Linked DNA regions of Caenorhabditis elegans. The protein of the gene in region 1 purifies or fractionates together with the protein of each later gene. This does not show direct contact. Each region holds a gene or a part of one and is shown on either strand. Other genes may lie near its edges. The genes, in order: F25E2.2 and tiar-2.

Region 1 (10,115 bases):
CTTGCGTTAAGCCCATTTCTAGACGCGGTGATTACAATTATAGTCATTAAGCAATATAGGTGAATTTGTATGGTCTGAAACAGTTTTATTATAAACTTCATATTACAGGAAAAACTGTCTCACTTGTGCATCTACCATGGGTAAACGGATTTGGAAGCCTAAAAATACAGATGCTCTATACACAGAGGAAAAAGAAGCTTTCGAAACTAGGCTTTGAATTTACCAACTTTTCCCCTTTTTTGCTGTGTTTAATTTTATCACTTTTGTAAATCTAAAGATCTCATTTTCATTCAATTCACGGTTATTTTAATAAATATTCTGTTCGTAAAATTTTCGGAAAAATTGAACAATCAGCTGATATCTTATTTAGAAAAAAAACGTCGGCCCTGAAACTTGATATCCTTATCATCTTTGAACGTCTGTTGAGAAACTTGCAAACACTGGTCAATGAGATTTGGTATTTGAACTTTCAAAGAAACTAATTCAATTCATCATTTAAAAAATCCGATTATAAATTAGTATTTTGTTGATTTAATCTGACTAAAACATGCTGATTTCAGAAGAGAATACACATAAAAATTGCGGTTCGCGTGTATGAGATGTGTATTCAAATTTCGCCACAAAATTTTAGTACAGTAGGGTAATTTTTATAATTTGGCAAAATTATTTTTGGTCATTGACTTTAAAAACTCAAAATTTCTAAAAAAAACCAAACATCGTAATAATTCTTTAAAAAATTTCAAATACTTTATAGTGGTTTAAAGATATTGAAAAGTTTTGTAGATAAATCTAAAAATTTTCTGACTTGTGCGTAAGAATAAGTTGCCAAATTTTCACGTGTTATCAATGCTGTTTTTGGTTTTTCAGGACCCAGTTTTTGCTTTCCCAGTTTGAAATTTATTTCCATGGTTGCTAACTGGACTAAACATCATTGTGAAAAGCTTAACATTTCAAAAAATACAGACAAACTGTTACTCATGTGAAAGTCAACAAAAAGTCTTGTCTACGAAATTTATATTCTCATAATATTCTTATTGTTTATACTTAAATGGACTTCAAACCTGCAACAATTCTTATTTTAAAAAACAAGTTTTTCCTAGAAGCATTTTGCCAAAAATGTGACAGGAAATTTTAAAGAATTTAAGAATCTTTGAAGAGTTTCATGAAGGTTTTTTAAGACTAAGGTCTCTTTTTTAAAAAACATCTCTAATTTTGAAACGAGAATTTTATAAAAATAAATTGTTAGTCAGACCTGTCCTGCTTACCAGTGAATGGCCAAAACCCAGAGTGGCCATTTGGCAAAAACTGAAATGGTATTCTTACTCCTGACAACCTCAGCTTTCGAATGACATACGTCTCGAGCCAAATGGCCACTCTGGGTTTTGGCCATTCCCTAGTTAATTTTTTATTTGTTTCTCTATTTTTAAATCAAACAAAAAAATCGAAATAAAAAATCCTACTAAACGTGAGTGGCAAAAAAATAACACAACAGAAACAAAAAACCATGTTCCATGATGCAATACTGTTACGACGACCGTCGTATAAATATTATTTTGATCTACCTTTATTGATCTGCCCTCGTGTCTTTGTAGTATGCACTTTCCCACTTTCCCGCGTCTTTCCCCCTTTCCCGTTCACCCCTATAAAAGGAGATGACTCGTTCATTTCTACACTCTTCTACTGGCCTAAGAGACTGTTTTACCCTTATCTCCCTACCTTGCCTTTAGCCCTTATTGCTCTATTGTTTCTAACTATTTTTTCAATAAATATATGATCTGTGATCATAACAACTGGCGATCAGGATGAGATATATGATCTGTGATTATAACAAATACACAACAATATTAAATTGAATTCCCATAACGGCTGTTCTTATCTTCAATAAACCGGACCACAAAGCCCACAATCGATCAAGAAGATCCGACTCAGAATATAAACATATTCAAAAAAATCGGAGGTATAAAGATTCCCGAAGACACTTTCCAATTACCCAAACTGTTCAAATTCTTGGTAAAATCTTCTTACTGGAACACTCATGACATAGTAAACTGTTGGGTCATTTCCTCCATGGTTACATTGAACCAATCATGATCGAGCAAAAAGATCCGACCCGTACCAATTGTTTTTCAAAAGTATTGGAGGTTTGTGGAACAGTTGGATAATAGTCGAAGATTGATAGTTAGTTCTCTGACTGATTGGGGACCGGAAAGATAATCACTGAATAAAAAATGAGAAGAGGAAAAAATAAGGAAAAAAACCTTGTTTCCGTGTCCTTGTTAAATAGTTTAAAATTTGTTTTTTATTGTTTACATTAGGAAAAACTTCCTGTTTTGTTAACAAAATCCGGTAAATAAGTTTTACGGCAATTCACATTGGTATCTAGAGTCGTATGGGTAGAAAGAATCGTATTCTTCTTTATAAAGAAAAAGTGAATATCACATCAAACTTGTGTCGTTGCGTCGTTGTTTATTTTTGTGCGATCATATTTTTTCTATAATAGTTATTTTAATTTAGCAAACACCCAATGCCTGAAAACAGTTTTGAAATGTTTTATTTTCTGAGTAATACATATCTTGGTCGTATCTTAATTGTTTTGTATTCAAATAGTATTTTAAAAAATATTTTACTTCTTGTATAAATTACAAATGAAGTAGCTACTGTTTTAATGCAACTATTATTTTCCCCTGCCAATTCCCTCTTCGCATTCCGCTTTTATTCTCCCTGTGCGATTATCGCGCAGGGGTGTTTGTTGCTGCGTCTCTTGTGTGGTCTCATCCGATCGCAAGCTAATTGTTTCGTTAAACCGATACGCGCAGGGAAAAAAAAATACGCAGCTGAATTATGAGAAATAGTACAGGGGTCATTAGGAACACAGCCGTGGCAGATTAGATTTGTGTATTAAAATTTCTAGAAAGAGAAATTATAATTTTTAGATTTGAAAAAAAAGGAATTATATTTTTTCATCACAAACGTACACTCACTTCAGTTGTAAAATAAAACATTTTGAACTTTTTTTCTTGGCTTAAACTGTACAGCTTCAAGGTATTAAAAAATATTTTGCAAAATTTTTATGCGAAAAAAAAACTATTTATGATCCATTACTTTAAATTAAAGTCTACAAAACATCCCACATCAAAGATTAAATTAAATTTCACACTGTGGTTTCAGGCAAGCTCCAGAAATTCTAGTTGACAAAATCGTTGAAACCGATGGATCTGGAAAATGATCATATTTTAATTAAATTTGATTTTGAATAAAAATAAACTTACGTGTTTCGTTGCAAATATCGCACGTTTTTGGGCACAACGCTCTCACAATTTTTCTATTAAACTCTTTCTGATCTTCACATTTACAATGGTGATGAGGGTGTTTTGCACATTTTTCACACTTGGAGTGAGAGCACTTTTCACAAGATTTCGAGTTTATTGGGCAATCCTGTTCTTTGTTTTGTTCTTTCTGGTGTGCAGGTTCTTGTTCTTCCAAGCTGAAATTATTTAAATTTATCTTGAAAAAAAAATTCAAATCGTTTTTGATCGGATGTTATTCTTTTGCAAAACGGTTAATTACAAAAAATTTTGACTACTTCCTTTTCTTACCAAAACCAAATTGGAAATGCTATTGTTAACAGTTTTTTGTTGAAAGAACTTACAAAACATGATCTATGAATTCCAACATTCTCGATCTATTTTTCGGATTCGTCGAGAACTTCTTCACTGCTTCTTTCAAAAACTTTGCATTTTCTGCCTCCGTATGGCAATAGATTCTTAACTTGTCACAATCTTCCACAAAATCGGTGCACTTCTTCAAAGGAGCAGCAGTTGTCGTTGCAATGGTAGTTGGAATTGAAGTAGTGCTGGTTGTAGTTGGGGCTGGGGTAGTTGTGGTAGTAGTTGGTTTTTGAGTAGTAGTTGGTGCTGGAGTTGTAGTGGTTGTTGTAGTGGTTGTTGGCTTAGGAGTTGTGGTAGTAGTGGTGGTAGTTGTAGGTAGAGGTGTTGTTGGAACTTCTCGTTTTACAGAATTTCCCTTTCCATCTTTCCCTGAATATTTGCCGGTGGAAGTTTTTTTGATAATCATTTTTGTGCGCATGAATGAATAATGTTTTTTTTTTCAAAAACTTTACAAGGGACACTTACACTGCTCTACCAAAAAACACTATCGATGTCCGAGATTAAGAGTAGTACATGTTAGACCAAAAATAATCCCACTGAAAAAACTCATTAGAATCAGGTAAGCTATGTCACTTTTTTCCAAAAAAATTTATTTTGGATCTACAGTGAAAACTTCCAAAATTCGGACACCAATCAATTATAAATTCTAAACTTTTTTCTGGCTCTAAAATAACAATTTCATCTCATAAAATACCTGAAACAATATTGCTCCACTGCTGTTTAGTCGCTGTCAACCACTTCTCCACTTCTTCTCTTGTCATCATTTTTACGATATACCCAGCAGTTCCATTCAAAGCACAATGCACGTATTGGTCTCCAAATTGTTGAATTGCATTTACCGTTATCATTTCCTTTGAATAAATACACCCGACTTGTGTCCACTTAAACTCGACAGTTCCATCTCGATTAATGCTAAACCCACAGGATTCCAGGCGGTCTCCGTTTCTAGCACGATTTTCAAATTGGATGATATCGCCGGATGTTGTTGTGCAGCCCTCTCAAAGTTAAAGATTTTGGTTTTATAATTATTACCAATCATTTTCAATAACTCGGTAGATTCTTTTAATGAAATTTCCTATTTTTCAATATAGTTAGATTCATAAAACCAACGTCGTATAAAGCGAAATGTATTTGTATTGAAATAAAAATACAGAAAATAACCACGTTTTAAAGTGATTACCGACATAAAATCATTATCGAGTTCCAACCTGTATATAGTCTGTTCTATGTGATATGTCTACCCCGCTTGTGCAGTGTAGGGTGAGTTCTTGTGTGTAGCATTTTAGCCTCTATGCCTAGCCACAAAACGGTCGGTAGCTCATTGGTATTTTTTTTATTAATTTCCTTATGACTATGCACATTAATATGTCACCTTACAACATAATTTATGTTTTTTTCTTGTGCGATAACCCGAATACCCTACTAAATATGTTATGCAAACTCACTCAAATCTCCGAATGATCGAACTTGTGTTCCTTGAAAACAATAAAAAGCGTTTCCATCAACGTAGCGAATTGCATACAATGGAATAAGGTAATTTCCAACAAGGCATCCTTCTTTCTCCACTTTCCCGAATTGGCATGCATAAACCGTGGCACCATCTTCCGAGTTCCATTCCTCATTGTGCCTGTATACTTTTCCATTGTGTCTGCATCCGAGTTCTAATAGAAAAACCGTAACAAAAGTTGTAAATTTTCATTTACGATTTACCAGTGACTTCAGCTTTTCTCAGCACACACTTCCCCTCAACCATTGCACATTTGACAACTGCATCGTCTACAGTTCCGAAATCTTCTGGTCGAATGTATGTGTTCTCTGCAGTTAAGCAGGCTGGAATTAAAGTTGTAAAGTTGGTTAATACGTATCTTTTTAAGTGCAACCTGCAACTTCTACAACAAATGAGCCATTTTCCGATTTTTTGCATTGCATGGTAGATCCCTTTCCAACAACTTTGTTCTCTGAGCCAATCTGAGTTAAATGGAATTTGGAAACTGGATCAAATTTGCAAAAAAAATTATGAAGAACTTGAATCACGTTTGATCCAAAATCCAGTTGATCAAAGTTAATAGCTTACACGCCAATTGTCTTTGAATCTACCCCAAAGTGTTACTACCAAATATTTTGTACCGGTTGTTTACATCTTTACCTATCCTTAGTATTCACTTACGCATATCAAAACATTGAATCAACATATGCGCTAAAAAACATAATTTGAAACTGTTAGAAGAAATACAACTAAATAGATTTTTGACATTCACTCACAATGATAACATCTTCTCGTCTATCAATCCATGTAGCTCTATCTCCATAAACTTGATCGCCGACTTGACATCCAGCAGCTGAAATGTTGAGAACAATTTTACAAATCTGATAATTCATCTTCATTGTTAAAAATTAAACAATTACAAAAGTTTGCCATATATGTAGTGATAAAAAAGATTATTAGGGATCATACAATGGGAATAATTGAAAAATTACAACAGATGGATGCATTAGATTTCAACATCACCATTTGGTCGAACGATGACATAGTTAGCTGGCACAATCGCATGATAAATCATGTATTGCTCACTTGTTTGGTGATTCAGCTTGACCTTGTTGCGTTCTATGAAGCATGTAAATGTTTCTCCATCTGGGAACGAGCGGGTTTTTCCGACTGGTAGAACTTCTCCTACGGGGTCGAGGCAGGCTGCAAAGTTATGTAACTGCGTTTTGTGTATTAGATTACCAGTTAGCCAAAATTTTAAACAGGGGTACATGACTAACAAACAAAAATCTCCTGACTTACTCTTCACAGAGTACTGAGCATTAGTTCCATCAATTACACAGTGATACTTGAACCATTTTTCGTTGTGGGTCTCCCACTGTTGCAAAGTGACACCGGTGAGATCATTCGATGGTTGGCATCCTAAAAATTTATTTTTTTTTCTTTTTAATTTTCTAATTCAAAACCCACCAGCAATATTGTAACCCTTTACACTTCCACTTTGATAGCATTGGTACTTGATATAGTTTTCCACAAAATAACTTCCCGGATTACAATTCTCCAGGTTAATTGGAGAAATTGCAGCTGAAAGTGGAAATATTCCGAAAAGTAGGAAAGTAACGATGTTCATGTCGAAAAGACAGGAATGAAAATTTGGGGAGCTGGGATGGGTGAGGGATGTCAAAAAGTGCAGTAAAGAATGCAAAAAAACATGAGGGGAACAGAGATGTGGGGGAATTTAGGGAGAACGATTTATCAACCGATCGGACATGTCTCTGCGAGTATCAAATACATCTCTGGTACATTTATTATTGATCGGGCTTTATTTAAAAAAACAAAATGGGGAGCTCATAGAGCTCAATTATATGACAAATGTTTATTTTTTAATGACAATAAATAGACCATAACGAGACCACAGTCCTGAAACTTCTCAAACTAGGGAAACAGTTTTCTGCTAGTATTTTTTTTCCTAAATTGTTTTACTACGCTAACGCGGATTTCTTGAAAGCTTCGAATCTTAGATGCAGGCTTTCTGGTGATGGTACTAATTTATTGTTAAGTAACTTGGTACTTACTTTTCAAAATTCTAAACATTTATTCATTTTATAGTTATCAAAATTGAATATATATACACAACCAAACAAAATATTCAAATATTGTCAAACTTTTGGAGCTCTGACAAGTGCTTCTTGAGCAGTCGAAATGATAAGTCGACCATCACGAGACCATAAACGGCCTTCAATAAATGCACGACTTCCACCTAGAATTTAACGCCATTTCTTAAAAAATATTTTACAGAATTTTATACCAGCTTTTGAGCTAATTGTCTCATACAGCATCCAATCATCGATTCGAAACTCATTTTCATGCATCCAAATACAATGATCCAGGGAAAAAGACATTGAAGGGATGAATCCGTTTCTGATATGAGGTCGTACTGCCGTGGTGAGCATGCTCAAGTCGGTGAGGTAAGCAGCGACGCACTGATGGAGACGGTGATCATCTCCTGAATCATAGTATTGAAAACGAATTATTTTGAACTTCTAACCCAAATTCTCTCTTGCTCGAATCCAAATCATCGACATTGGCTCAGTATCTTCTTTAAGCAAGTACTTGGCTGGGTTGACCGGGCGAACATCAAAAACTCGCTCAAAAGCATCTGGAATTTCTTTCAAAAAATGTTGGATGACACCAGCGGTGACTTCATCGACTTCTTTCGTGCGGAGCACTTCCAGCGCTGCTTCTCGAGCTGGCTGGAAAATATATAATAATGGAAAGTAAACCTAGAATTGCAGTGTAATGTTATTATATTTTTTAGTTATATTTCAAGCTTCCATGGGAGGTGGGCCTGTTTTCAGGACGTGACGCCTGCCTCTAACCTGCCCGCCTCACGCCGGCCTCTCGCCTTATTTTTACGCCATGGCGAACAATCAAAGGCTTCATGTTTGCACCAAATAGTGCCAAAGGTGGTTCTTCCGTCGCGGCACTATACAGAAAGCGCGTGGCAGGCGTTTTGGTGCCTGCATGGAAAAACTTGATTGTTTTGAAGCAACCTACAAGCAATTGTTCTGGAGGTGTTACTTCCGGCATTTTGGAGCTATGTTTAATTGCATCGGGTTCTTTCTGAAAAGTATCTCTTTTTTTATTCTCTGTTCCATTTCCCCAGCATACATGATGGAAACTAATTTGGCAAGAAAAAATTGCCTCTCCATCCTGCACAGCCTTCACCACTCGCGTACAAAAACTTCTTCCGTCTCGAATGCGGTCGATCATGTAAAGAATCGGTTTGTCCACACTCCCTGAAACACACAACACAACAGTTGCCGTCTTCTGTTATCAACTGACCCGTCTTGATGAAATAGCTATGTAATGAGTGAGGTATGAAACAATCTTCCACGGTGGCAGCTGCTGCCGCCAACGATTGACCAACAACCTAAATATTTGAGGATGATCGGTGGGAACTGATATATAGGATTTGGAAGTTTATATTGAAAATTTGAGTTTTCTTACCTGACCGCCATAAACGGCATTGTAGGAATGACGACCCTTCAACAAGTGGCGAGCGCTGCAAGAAAATCTAATGTTCTCATGTTTTGTGATGATCGAGTCAGGAATTGTGCGACGTGTGATGTCACATCATTCAAAAATATATTATAAGCAGAGTCAAAGACTTTATTAATAATGCACATGCCTGAACACTTTTTACACTTTTAAGGATATTTTTGTAGTGACTGTTCCGAAAAATGTTTGAGCTGTCTCCGAGCACCAATCAAAATGTTGTTGAGCAAAATTTGAAAATACATCATTTTTCCAACACTTACATGTACAGATTGGTATCGATTCTCTGTAGATTCAGAAAAGTATCAATGAGCCCTGCTTTTATATCATTTGCTCTTGACTCAAACTCGATATGCTCCACGTTGCACAAAGGAGTTCCCTAAAAATCTTTCAAATTGCAATTGAAACAAACCCTAACATACCTCGGTTGGTGCTTTCGGTTTTGCCATGATCAATCTGAAAATTGAAAATAATAGTTCAAATTTTCAACTGTGTACGCGAAAACATGTTTTGAGAGACGCAGAAGTTTGGGGAGAAAATCATTGAGTGGAGATGACGAACAAAACAATAACGACGCAACAGTGTAGGCTAAATGAGACTTTGAAAAAAAACTAGAACAGGAAGTGATATCTAATAATTTGAACAGTTTAAAATGCATTTGCTACTAAATTCAGAATTCATACTGTTCAAAACTTCAAAATTTAAAAATATAAAAAAACCGTTTTTTTTTTTGAGAAATTGCATTTATAATAATTTCAGAAATGCAGAAAATGCATATTGAGTTGCCAACCAATGATTTATAGTCAGAAAAAGCGGAAACTGGAATTTTGTTGCCTAGTATAGTGTGGCCAAACAAACAAAATACATAAGACCTCACGTGTACAGTTTATCAGTACATTATTACATTTCAAAGTGATCAAAGAGGAACTTCAAATCACATACGCCTGCTAGAAAAAAAAAACACCAGAGCTGCTATATAAAGAACAACTAAAAAGGCTTTTGCGTTTCGAAAAAAGTGTAGAAAACCCTGCCCCAGTGACGTCACTTTTTTCAACCATCATCAAGCCTACATCTTCTTCATAATCAGGTTTCAGAAACAAAAAGGGAAAGAGTACCAAAAAAAATTTTTTTGAATTATTTTTGATCTACATTGGTAAACTGAACACCCCACCTTCATCCGATTAATGGTTACATAGAAAGTAAAATAAAACATTTTATTCGTTAATTCATAAAACATATAAATAACATGAAAATTGAGAAAAATAAATTCTTCAAACTTTTGCAAGTTCAAGCCGTACATTTGAACATGGGTGGTTTGAAATTGTGAAATTACAATACTCAAAATTAACAAAAACATGACAATCGAAGTTGTTACAATAAGGAATCGTTGTATGCCGAACCAT
Region 2 (11,771 bases), on another chromosome or scaffold:
AGCTTACTCTACAATACTTTCACCTCAAAACCCAAGATTTGTGAAAGAGAACAGCGCACGAAGCGGTGATTTGAAGATTGCGCCCAAAAAAGGGGGGGGGGGACATGCAATTTTCGATTTCACACTAAAGAGCCCACTTCTATAGCTTAAAGGGGTCGTAGAATTTTTTCAAAATACACGTTAAAAAGAGCTCGTCGAGTTGTATACACCCCTAAAAAATCGTGAAATAATCTCAAATATTCGAATTTTCCTTCAATTAAAACCACCAGAAAATGAGGAAAAATAGCGATTTTTGAGTTTCACTCAAAATATCTCGGCTCAATGAGCTCCTATTGAGATACGGTAAAATATAAGTTGCAGTTGAGAGATATTTTAAGCGATTAAAAAAAAAGAACTCGAATTTTCATCCATCCAGCGCCGAGCTATAAGCCGTGACAACAATCACGCATGGTTTTGGAAAAAAAGTCGCCGCTTTTTTTGACATCGCATGTCAAAAGTTTTTTCAAAAACACCTACCCGTGGCACACACGCGATTTAAGAGAGGAAAATGCAGATAAGACTAATTTTTATCAATATTTCTTTTGCTGCGACGTGAATATTAAAACAAATTATATATTTTTTTAAATTTACGTTTTGGATTTTAATTTCCAATTTTTTTCGGAAAAGTTCTAGGGAAAATTGGGAAAAAAATTGTTTTTTTTAAACATTTTTGCCAATAATTGGGCGGAGCTTAAGTTTAACGAATTCGAAAAATTCAACATTTACAGAAAAAAAAACTTACAACCTGACAAAATGACGGAATTCGAACTTCGTTCAATTTCAAAATAATTGACTTGTTTCTTTTTTCCCAACATAAATTTTCACGTTTTTTGAACCAAAAAACATTATTTCTTTTACGCCAAAATCAGGTTCCGTGAACTTTTTTTTTTAATTTTAGAACTTTTACAAGAAATGACACATGGGGTGTCCGGCAGTCCTAACACAGTTTGATCTACAAAAAATGCGGGATTTTTTTCTCAGAAAAATTGTAACGTCAGCACGCTCTTAACCCTGCGAAATCAGTTGAGAACTCTGCGTCTCTTCTCCCGCATTTTTTGTAGATCTACGCAGATCAAGCCGAAATGAGACACTCTGACACCACGTGATAATATTGGATTAAACAATCCGAATAATAGTGCGAATTGGTTGATGGGGACGAGAGAGCGTAGCCTTTCGGCTATATAGTAGGCTCTGTGCAAGAAGTGAATGAAAGTGAATGTGGATGCGTGAGAATGAGAATGATGACAAAAGGTGATTGCGAAATAGTAAAGGAAGACGAATGAGTAAGTGGCGGGTAGATCAAACGGGTAGATCAATAATAACTATCTCGGCAATTCGGCGCCACTTTTAAACCAACTTTGGCCACTTTCTAACTGCCATTAGATATCAGCCACTTTCCAACCAACTTTCGCCAACTTTTGCCACATTTGTAAATGGAAGTGGCTCAAGTTGGTTGAGCAGTGGCGCCGATTTACCGAGTAGACGAGCGCACGTGCTCGCTGGCTGTCTCGAAATTCACGTTTTCTCGCGGACGAGAAAACTTGAGAAATGTGAGAAAATGGCCTAGAAAATCCTGGAAGAGGAGAATTCCTCGTCCACAGCCAAAATAGCGTGTGAAAGAAGAGACGCAGACGGCAAAACGGTTTTTCTTGGCGTTTTTCACGTCCAGAGAAAAAAGTAGTATCTGCGTCTCTCACGCCCAATGGATAGCGAGAGTTGGCGCCAACGTGAATTCTCAATGAGGCGCATTTGCTTCAAAATTATGCAAAAGGACAGCCAGCGACCACGTGCGAGCGCTCTCGTGGTTGCTACAGCTACCGCGGTGGATCCGCGACACACAAAAACTATTACGGAGCCATCAGATCATGAAAATACGTTATATAGCTAGTATTTTTTTTCAATTATGTCTAAGCATTTTTACAGTTCATTCAATTTACAAGAAAAAACATGAATTTCAAACAGTTCCCCAGTTGGACTTTACATCGTTGATTGTCTCGTTATCGTCAGCCGAACGCTCCTCCATCTTTACTTCTGCAAAAAAAAACATTTTTAAGCAGCCGACAAAATCGAGGTGAGCGAATGCAGACAAAATTCGACTATTGCAATCGAGTGCCATCCTGGTGGACACATCGGCGAAAAATATCGAAGGCCCGCACCCTAACATGGCTGATGTGGAACCCACCTTTGATTTCTCTTTTGAGAAGTCTATTAGCATCTCCAGATCCTCCACTACCTCCGCCGGAACCGCCAGACTTGTTAACCAAGTTGGCTCCAGCCGGAGCCGGTGCTCCACTGGATTTTCGATCGAAGCCACGTGGCTTCAGTTTTGCCGCTTCGTTCTTCTCTTTCTTGCACGAGACGAGAATCGACGCGAGCACGGTGATGGATATGAGGAGTTCAATAAGCATTTTTTCAAATTGTCACGTGTTTGAGCGTATCCTGGAAATTGTCATTATTTCACAGATCGACTTTTCCGCACAGGTCCGGAAAATTGAAAACTAGGATCTTTTTCTCTCAAGATTTCGATCGAAAAATCTCTAAAAAGTCTGTCAATCGCAGGCCCGAGTTTTGAACGATTGAGAAAACTAGGCCATCGATTGTTTCGCTAGGCCGCGCTGTAAATGCCCGCCGGCAGGAAAGCATAAAACTAGGCCACCTATGTTTTTTTTCTAGCGGCCACCCAGCACATATATATATATATATATTTAAATTAACTCACACTTTGATAAAAATGGTTTATAACGCCGTCGGTTAGATTGTTCGAAATAACTAATTTTTGGCTAATTTTTATCGATTTTTTTTTCTGTTGCCCCTTGTACATTAAAACACATTATATTTTTTAAAAAAGGTTCACGTCTTGGATTTTAATTCCCAATTTTTTCCGGAAAATTTGCAGAGAAGATTGAAAAAAAAAATTTTTTTTTGAGATTTTGTGCCAATAAGTGGGGGGAGCTTAAGTTAAGGAGCTTAAATTCGAAATACTATTTATCTAATTTCGAATAAACAAACAAACAAATTTTTTTTTTGTGATTTTTTGAAATTTTCCGGCTCCATGAACATTTATTTATTTCATAAATAATAACTTTTACAATAAAAAAATGACAGGAAGTAAATAACATAGGACATTTTTATATTAGACAATTTTTCTGTTGCAAAAAAAAAATAGAAACGCGTGGAATTCAGGGGGGTGGGGAAGAAAAAAAAATCAATAAATTAAGGCAGATGAAAATATACAAAAAAAACGGGGAAATTGGGTGAAAAATAATTAAAAATGGATTTCTAATTCGTTAAAAAATGCAATTTTCTTGGGGAGAGGACAAATACAAAACAAAAAAATTCCGGAATTTTCAAAACATAAATTGCAAATTCACAGAACTCAGCAATATATTTAGTTAAACTGAAGCAAAAGATGTTTGGAAAAAATTTTAAATTTCCGAAAAATTCAAAAAATTGAAAAAAAAAAATTGTTGAATTAAGAAAAATTAAATTTTGTTTTCTTAAAAAAATACAGGAAAATAATTATTTTTGTATTAAATAACTATTTAAAAAATTCCAAAAATCCGCTCAATTTTCTGCATTTTTTTTCAGAAAAACAGGAATTTTACCAGTTTTTTTTGGGAAAAAAATGCTCAGAATTTCCAAAACAGGAAAAAATCAAGAAAATAGGAAATTTCAATGTTACTCAAAAAATGATTTTTAAAGTTTTATTGAATTTTTTTCCACAAAATGTGCTCAATTTTTGCTGGAAAAACAGGAAAATGATTATTTTTGTATTAAATAACTATTTGAAAAATTCAAAAAAAAAATCAGCTAAATTTTGTCCAATTTTTTTCCAGAAAAACTGGAATGTTACCATGTTTTTTTGGAATTTTTTTTTCAAAACTTCCAAAAACAGTAAAAATAAAGAAATTTGATTTTTTAAAGAATTATTTTTCCACAAAATGTGCTCAGTTCCCTCCAAATTTCTAGAAAAACTGGAATTTTACAAGTTTTTTTTTTTTTGGAAAAAGATCTTGCTGAAATTTAATTAATTAACAAAATAAGAAACGAATTATCTCAGAAAATTGATTTTTTAAAGAATTTTTTCCATAAAATGAGCTCAATTTTCTCCAATTTTTCAGAAAAAAAATTCACAAAATTTCCAAAAACAGCAACAAAAAAATTAAGAAAATTGGAAATTTCCAAATTTCCAAAAACAGCAAAAAAAAAATAATTTTTTCACAAAATGTGCTCTCAATTTCCTCCAGTAGATGAAGCTGCTGCAGCTGGTGGTGGTGGTGGTCCATCCTTTTGCCAATAATTATTCCATTGTTGCATCAAATGTGGATTATTGTAGTATTGCGAATAGTACTGCCAATATTGATTATTTTGGCCTCCACTTCCGCCTCCAGAACCACCATTTCCAGATGGTGGGGGTCGTTGATTAAAATTCGAAAATTGCGAATTTCCGGGTCCTCCGCTGCCGCCGCCGCCACCGCTGTTACCGTAACCGTAACCGTAGTTGCCACTGCCGCCACCACCGCCGGATCCTCGCTCGGATGGCTTTCCAGACTGAAATAAAATTAATTAGGTGACTTTTTGAGAAAAAATAGAAAATTTTTTTGAAAATTCAAATTTTAAAAAGGGTTTTATAAGGAAAATTTAAGAATATTTTTTCTTAAAAAAAAAAGCAATTTTTGCCAAAAAAATTGGTTTATTTCAGTTTTTTCTGAATTTTTCGGTTTTCAACAAAAAAACTGAAATTTCCAGCTTTCCGGAAAATTGGCAAATTACCGGAATTGAAATTTCCGGAAAATTGCAGGAATTGAAATTTCGGGCAAGTAGGTAAATTGCCGGAATTGAAATTTTCGGCAAATTGGCAAATTACCGGAATTGAAATTTCTGGCAAAACGGAAAGCTGGAAATTTCAGTTGTTTTTTGTCAAAATCTGTGGTTTTTTTGGATTGAAAATTCAGGTTTAAACAGAAATTTTTAATGAATTTTTCAATGTCTAAATAATTTTTAGCATTTTTTTCTTGAAAATTCAAAATTTTCCCGATTTTCGAGTAAAAAATGAATTTTTTAGAGAAAAAACTCTACAAAGAAGCTGCAAAAATAGAATTTTTAGTAATAAAAAAATTCCTAAAATTCCTAAGCTATATTTTTGATTTAAAAAATTGAAACCAGTATAATTTTTTAGAAATTTTTTATTTTTTTAAAAATAATTATTAGTTAATTTTTTAAATTCCAGTGTGTAGCTTTTTCTCGAAATTTTTAAATTTTTTTTTTCGAAAAATTAAGTAAATTTGTGATTTTTTTAATCCAATTTTTTTTTGAATTTTTTGGAATTTTCATTCTAAAAAATTCTGAAATAAAAGTTTAATTAAATTAAATTAAATTAAATTAATTTAAAATTTAACGGGATTTTTGAAGAAATTTTTTTTTTTTTTTTTTAATCCATTTTGGGTGATTTTTTGGGCATTTTTTTCTTCATTTCACCGAAAAAACCACGAACATCTCCACTTTTTCCCCAACTGCATCGAACAATTTGTCCTCCAATATCTGCATTATTCATCTGTACAATCGCCCGTGCCGCTGATTCTTTAGTCTCAAATTTCACAAATGCGTATCCCTGAATTTTGAATGTTCGTACTTCGTTGATTGGTCCGAAACGGTCAAAAGCTCGGCGAATTTCGTCTTCTGCAAAAAAAAAATAATTAATTTGGAGGATTTGTGGTGAATTTTTGGGGAATTTTTTCGACGGAAATTCTAGCAGCAAAAGTGCGGCAAATTTTTTGTCGACAAATTCGGCAAATCGGCAAATTGCCGGTTTGCCGAAATTTTTTTCAGTTCCGGTAATTTGCCGGTTTGCCGGAAATTTCAATTCCGGCAATTTTCCGATTTCCGGTTTGCCGGAAATTTTCAATTCCGGCAATTTTCCGGTTTGCCGATCTTCTAGAATACCTAGATTCCGGCAATTTTTCGATTTGCCGGAAATTTTCAATTCCGGCAATTTTTTCGATTTGACGCAAATTTTCAATTCCGCAATTTGCCGATTTAGGAAAGTTTTTTTTGTAAATATGAATCGGGGTAAACGATTTCTTCCGACAAATCGGCAAATTTCCGGAATTAAAAATTTCTGGCAAATCGGCAATTTGTCAAAAACGAAAATATCCGACAAACCGGCAAACCGGCATGATGCCGGATCTGAAAATTTCCGATAAATCGGCAAATTACCGGAAATGTTTAATTCCGGCAAATCGGTAAACCGGCAAATAGCCGGAATTGAAAATTTCCGGCAAATCAACAAATTGCCGGAATTGAGACTTTCCAGAAAATCGGCAAACCGGCGAATTGTCGGATTTGAAATTTTCGGCAAATCGGCAATTTGCCGAAAAAGAAAATTTCCGGCGAATCGGAAAATTGCCGAAAATGAAAACTTTCGGCAAATCGGAAAATTGCCGGAATTGAAAATTTCCGGCAAATCGGCAAATTGCCGGAATTGAAAATTTGCGGCAAATCGGCAAATTTCCGGAATTGAAATTTTCCGGCAAATCGGCAAATTTCCGGAATTGAAAATTCCCGGCAAACCGGAAAATTGCCGGAATTGAAAATTTCCGGCAAATCGGCAAATTGCCGCAATTGAAAATTTCCGGCAAATCGGCAAATTTCCGGAATTGAAATTTTCCGGCAAACCGGAAAATTGCCGGAATTGAAAATTTCCGGCAAATCCAAAAATTGCCGGAATTGAAATTTGCCGATTTTTCGACTAAAAAAATTGCCAATTTTACCTAAATTTTTTTGATTTTTTTTTGTAATTTTTAACAAAAAAAATACGCAAATTTTAAGTTTTTTTTGAAAATTTTTTTGAAAATTTCTGAAAACGAACCCCCAAGATTGGCAATATTTCCGACATAAACCGATGTATTATCAGCAGCAGCTTGATTAAAAATCTCATCATAAGTCTTTTCCGATTGATTATGATAACGATCTCTTCCACCGCCACCTCCACCTCTTCTATCACCACGATCACCACCACGTTCACCATCTTCATCAGGCTTCCGGGTGGCCCAGTTTGTTCGAATAGTCCGTCGGCCAAGCCATGCTCCATTCATCTCATCTATAGCTCTTTCGGCATCTTCTCGACGGGGGTATGATACGAATCCGTAGCCTTTTCCCTTGTTCGTATTGTTATCTGCAAAAAAAAATATTTAAAAATTGGTTGAAATTTAGACATTTTAAGGGAAAAAAAACGAAAAAATAGGGCCCACCAATTAGCGTTTTGCTCCGCCCACTTCCCAACCAATCGGGTTGAGTGGGGGGGGGGGGGGGGGGGCGGAGTCGAAGACGCTGATTGGTCGTACAGTTTTCACTTTTTTTTTCGTTTTTCCTTAAAAAGGAGAGAAATTCAAAAAAATTCAAAAATTGAGATTAAAATTTGGAGAAATTCGGCAAATCGGCAAATTGCCGGAAATTTTTAATTCCGTCAGTTTTCCTATTTTCCGGCAATTTCAATTCCAACAATTTGCCGATTTGTCAAAATTTTTGAATTCCGGCAATTTTCCTATTTTCCGGCAATTTTTGGATTTGCCAGAAATTTTCAATTCCGGCAATTTGCATTTGCCGGAAATTTTCAATTCCGGAAAATTGCCGGTTTGCCGAAATTTTGAATTCCAGCAACTTGCCAATTTGCCGGAAATTTTCAATTCCGGCAATTTGCCAGAAGTTTTCAATTCCGACAATTTGCCGGTTTGCCGGAAATTTTGAATTCCAGCAACTTGCCGATTTGCCTATTTTCCAGAAGTTTTCAATTCCGGCAAATTGTCGGTTTGCCGGAAATTTAGAATTCCAGCAATTTGCCGATTTTCCAGAAGTTTTCAATTCCGGCAATATGCCGATTTGCCGGAAATTTCAATTCCGGCAATTTGTCGAACCAATTTTCTTTTAAAATGTTTTTTCCGTAATTTTCTATAATCAAATTAGTCGAAAAATATTGATTTTTCCAGAATTTTCAATTTTTTTTTCAAATTAAAAAAAATTACCGCGAATAATTTTCGCCTCAGAAACTTCTCCGAACTTAACAAAAGCTTCACGGAGCTTTGTCGAATCAATTTCGGAGCACAAATCGCCGACGAAAACGTGAAAATGTCGAGAAGTTTCGGGTTTTGAGCGGTTTTCGCCCGGCTCGCGGGGCTCGAATGCCCACGTTACGTGCATTTCCTGAAACATTTTTTTGAAATTCTGTTGCAATTAGTTTAATTTTCAGATTTTCCCGGATTTTCCCGGGATTTTTAAGCCAAAAATTTCACTTTTTCCAGCAGCTCCCGCCCGTTGTGGCTCTGTAAAGCCAGCGTAGCCTGATTATGATCGGAAAACTCCACGAAAGCGTACGGATCGTTGAGTCCCTGCAATATTTATCTGTTTAAGACCCGGAATTTCGATGAAAAATCACTTCAAAAATAATTTTTGCCTTCATAACGGCGCCAATTTGATTGAAAAGCGTCGCGAGAAACTCGTCGGTTATCGCCGGATCCAGATTTGCAACGAATCTGCAAGCATCGCGGGTTTTTTATTATATTTTTTAATCTTCTTGCGAAAAAAAAATCCTACAAAGTTCTCGGGTCCTCGGAGCCAGAAGCCAGCTGAAAACCCTCTCGTTCGGCGATTCTCGCGTGCACACGGGGATTGAAGCCGTCTCCGTCTTCGCCACCTCCCGTGTAGAACGAAGTGGCCATTTTTTACAAAACTTTGCTGAAAAACGCGAAAAACTCGATAAAAATCCGGTAAAAACAAATAAAAACCAAAAATTAAATAAATAAATTCAAATTGTGCCGTAGAGCGCGCTTGCAATGTTTCAAAAAAACTTGTTTTTTAAAAATCTATTTTTTCCCTTTCTTTTCAACTTTTTAATCTTAAATTTAGTTATTTTTATTTATTTAATAAAGTTTTAGCCATTACTATCATTTTTCAATAAAAATTGCGAAATTTCTTATCACAATTTCCGATATAAATTCACTTAAAATCGATGAATCATGATTAATCATCAGTTGTCCGGTGGAGCGCACTTGCATACCCTTATATTTGCATTGATTTCCTCATTTTAAGAACAATTTCTAATCAATTTTCAATGAATTATTTTGATTTTTATTGTTATTTAGTGCTTTTAGAAAATTTTCCCGCTCTGGAACTCTATTTTTCTCTCATTTCTCACCCAGAAATCAATATTTTATCGGCTGTTACGAAATATTCCACTTTTCAGATGGATTTCCTGTTCGGACGCCGCAAGACGCCAGCCGAGCTTCTTCGACAGAATCAGAGGGCTCTGAACAAGGTAAATTATTGAAAAAACTGAGAAAATGAACTGAAAATCATGAAAAATTCAAACTTTCAGGCCATCCGAGAGCTGGACCGCGAGAGAGCTCGTATGGAGGCTCAGGAGAAGAAGGTTATCGCGGATATCAAGAATATGGCAAAGAAGAATCAAATGGACTCTGTAAAAGTGATGGCCAAGGATCTGGTGCGAACTCGTCGTTATATCAAGAAATTTATCGTTATGAAGGCAAATATTCAGGTAAAATCACGGAAATTGAATTAAAATAAAACAAAAATCTCTAAATCTCTTCAGGCGGTCTCCCTGAAAGTTCAAACCCTGAAATCGCAAGATGCGATGGCGTCGGCGATGAAAGGAGTGACAAAAGCGATGCAATCGATGAATCGGCAGCTGAATCTTCCACAAATCCAGAAAATTATGATGGAATTCGAGAAACAGAGCGAAATCATGGATATGAAGGAGGAGGTGATGGGCGACGCGATCGATGATGCTCTTGGAGACGCCGGCGATGAGGAGGAGACCGATCAGATCGTTAATCAGGTAAAAAAGCGAGAAAAACGCGAATTTTGGCTTAAAAAACTCATCATATAAATGTTTTTTTTTCTCAGGTTCTCGACGAGTTAGGCATACAAATGGGCGAAGAAATGGCCGGGCTCCCGTCGGCGGCCGGTGGACTCAATGCTGGTGGAGAACGGATCGGCGGTCGCCAAGCTGTTGCAGCTGGAGGTAGCGGTGGAGCTCATCATGGAGCCGGTGGAGCCGGTGGTGGAAATGATGTTGACGATGATCTTCAGGCCCGTCTTGATCAGCTTAGAAGAGAATGATTCTGTTTCTGATTTTTCATTTCTTGTAAATTTATGTGTATTTATTCGATTTTTTCCTCAATTTTTCGCCGAAAAATCCACAAAAAAAATGTATGGCAAGCAATTTATTGTCGAGAAAGCACAGCATGGGAATCAATTTTTTTTTAATTCGAGAAAAATAATTTTAAGATAGTCTACACTGCAGTCGTAGTTGGGAAGAATCGGCGAATCGTCTCGTCTCTCTCGTATCTCTCCTTGATATGCACTATTTCTTCGAGTGGAGCCGCCGATGGTCTCGCCTGGAAAACAAATTTTGTTGGAAAATCGATAGTTTGAGGGGGGGGTGGTTACTGTACCTTGGAGCTGCTGCTGGACTTGTTGGGGGAATTTGTTCTGAAAATGGGAAAATTATCGATTTTTCGGAAGAATTTTTCTCCGGAATTAATGGGATTTCTAGCTTCCCTCATAAATTGAAATGGAAGAGTTTTCCGAACTAGGCCAATTTGGCTGGGGCATATCTGGGGTAGATTTACGGCGCGTTGCGTGTTGCGTCGCGGCTCGATTTTAGTTTTAAAACTAAATGATTGTCAATAGAGCGCGAAAAATTCAATGAGGAAGGCCAGAACCCCGTGGCCGGAATCAGAAAAATTTTAGAAAATATCGATTTTTCTTTGAAATTATCGATTAATTCATCGAAAAATATCGATTTTCTCACCTTCCAGACGGGCGTCTCTTTGGCGAAGACGGGCGGTGCGATTGTTGGTAGGCTCTGCAAAAAAATCGATAAAACTTCAATTTTCAGGTATAATTTACCGTTCTTTCTCTGGATTATTGTATGGAATGTGCACTTCAGATGGGGTATGTGGGGTACTGACACCACGTGATAGGTACCTTGACTTCTCCACCCTGTCGCTTGGCGTTTTTGAGATTCCTCGGGTGTAATGTAGCTCGGGGGTCTCCGAATTGCGGGGTAACCTGGATTTACTACTATAGGACTACTGTATAAAAAAAAACTTACGACTTTTCTGATGGGGTCACCGATTTGTGGGATCTATAAGACGACCGCTCGGATTGCTGATAGGCTCTGAAATTTGGATTACTGTAGGGTTACGGTAGGTTTTGCTACTGTACCTCTCTTTTTCAGGGTTATTGTAAGGAATGTGAATATCCGAGCACGGAGTTCTAGAAAAATTTGGTTTTTTTTTTAAATTTTTGGAAATCTACCCTACCTCTCCGACCTGGAATCCTGATTGCTAGGAGTCTTGGAAATTCCCCTGAAAAATTATCGAGGTTTGCCGAAAGCTCCCCGAGTTAAAAAAAAATTACCTGGTATACGGTAAGTCCTCCTCCCTAGCCTGATGATCCCCCGGAAATCGGTTCTGCTGACTTTTATCCGCGAATCTGGAATTTTCGATAATTTTATCAGCAACTGAGCTCGGCAGTTTCAATCACCTTCCATAATCCAGCTCCTCCGGGCTTTGGCGTTTTGCAATCGGGCTGAAAATTTTTTTTTTAATTTTTAGAAATTTCTCAAAGCCTACCGAGTATGTGTAGTTGTCACCGGGATACGGACCTCTGATGGGCTTCTGCAAAAAAAAACCGAGAAATTGTATGAACTA

Evidence for each region.
Region 2: the proteins of F25E2.2 (region 1) and tiar-2 fractionate together in Caenorhabditis elegans (co-fractionation; one large-scale study listed by BioGRID). This does not show direct contact.

What each region holds. Positions count from the first base shown.
Region 1 is NC_003284.9:803,940-814,054, forward strand, and holds F25E2.2 (Abnormal cell migration protein 18-like fibronectin type I domain-containing protein), read right to left. Parts: upstream 6,856-10,115; 5' UTR 6,785-6,855; coding exon 6,625-6,784; intron 6,577-6,624; coding exon 6,457-6,576; intron 6,358-6,456; coding exon 6,241-6,357; coding exon of another isoform or gene 6,161-6,240; exon of another isoform or gene 6,036-6,160; intron 6,008-6,035; coding exon 5,931-6,007; intron 5,637-5,930; coding exon 5,549-5,636; intron 5,499-5,548; coding exon 5,379-5,498; intron 5,330-5,378; coding exon 5,114-5,329; intron 4,666-5,113; coding exon 4,363-4,665; intron 4,038-4,362; coding exon 3,650-4,037; intron 3,485-3,649; coding exon 3,270-3,484; intron 3,216-3,269; coding exon 3,145-3,215; 3' UTR 3,052-3,144; downstream 1-3,051. Other genes in the region: gtr-1 (G_PROTEIN_RECEP_F1_2 domain-containing protein), read left to right, coding at 1-59, 109-217; F25E2.3 (Acyl-CoA thioesterase II), read right to left, coding at 7,314-7,414, 7,463-7,660, 7,703-7,907, 8,212-8,277, 8,326-8,453, 8,500-8,587, 8,665-8,719, 8,976-9,091 and 1 more; Intermediate filament protein ifd-2, read right to left, coding at 10,084-10,115.
Region 2 is NC_003280.10:12,765,724-12,777,494, reverse strand, and holds tiar-2 (RRM domain-containing protein), read right to left. Parts: upstream 8,810-11,771; 5' UTR 8,754-8,809; coding exon 8,629-8,753; intron 8,568-8,628; coding exon 8,471-8,567; intron 8,424-8,470; coding exon 8,328-8,423; intron 8,239-8,327; coding exon 8,061-8,238; intron 7,214-8,060; coding exon 6,908-7,213; intron 5,719-6,907; coding exon 5,534-5,718; intron 4,591-5,533; coding exon 4,273-4,590; 3' UTR 3,081-4,272; downstream 1-3,080. Other genes in the region: Y46G5A.14 (uncharacterized protein), read right to left, coding at 1,994-2,070, 2,222-2,447; vps-2 (Charged multivesicular body protein 2a), read left to right, coding at 9,278-9,349, 9,410-9,589, 9,644-9,889, 9,958-10,173; cnp-2 (Calcineurin-interacting protein 2), read right to left, coding at 10,347-10,451, 10,509-10,545, 10,868-10,921, 10,966-11,127, 11,171-11,236, 11,284-11,334, 11,382-11,426, 11,479-11,553 and 2 more.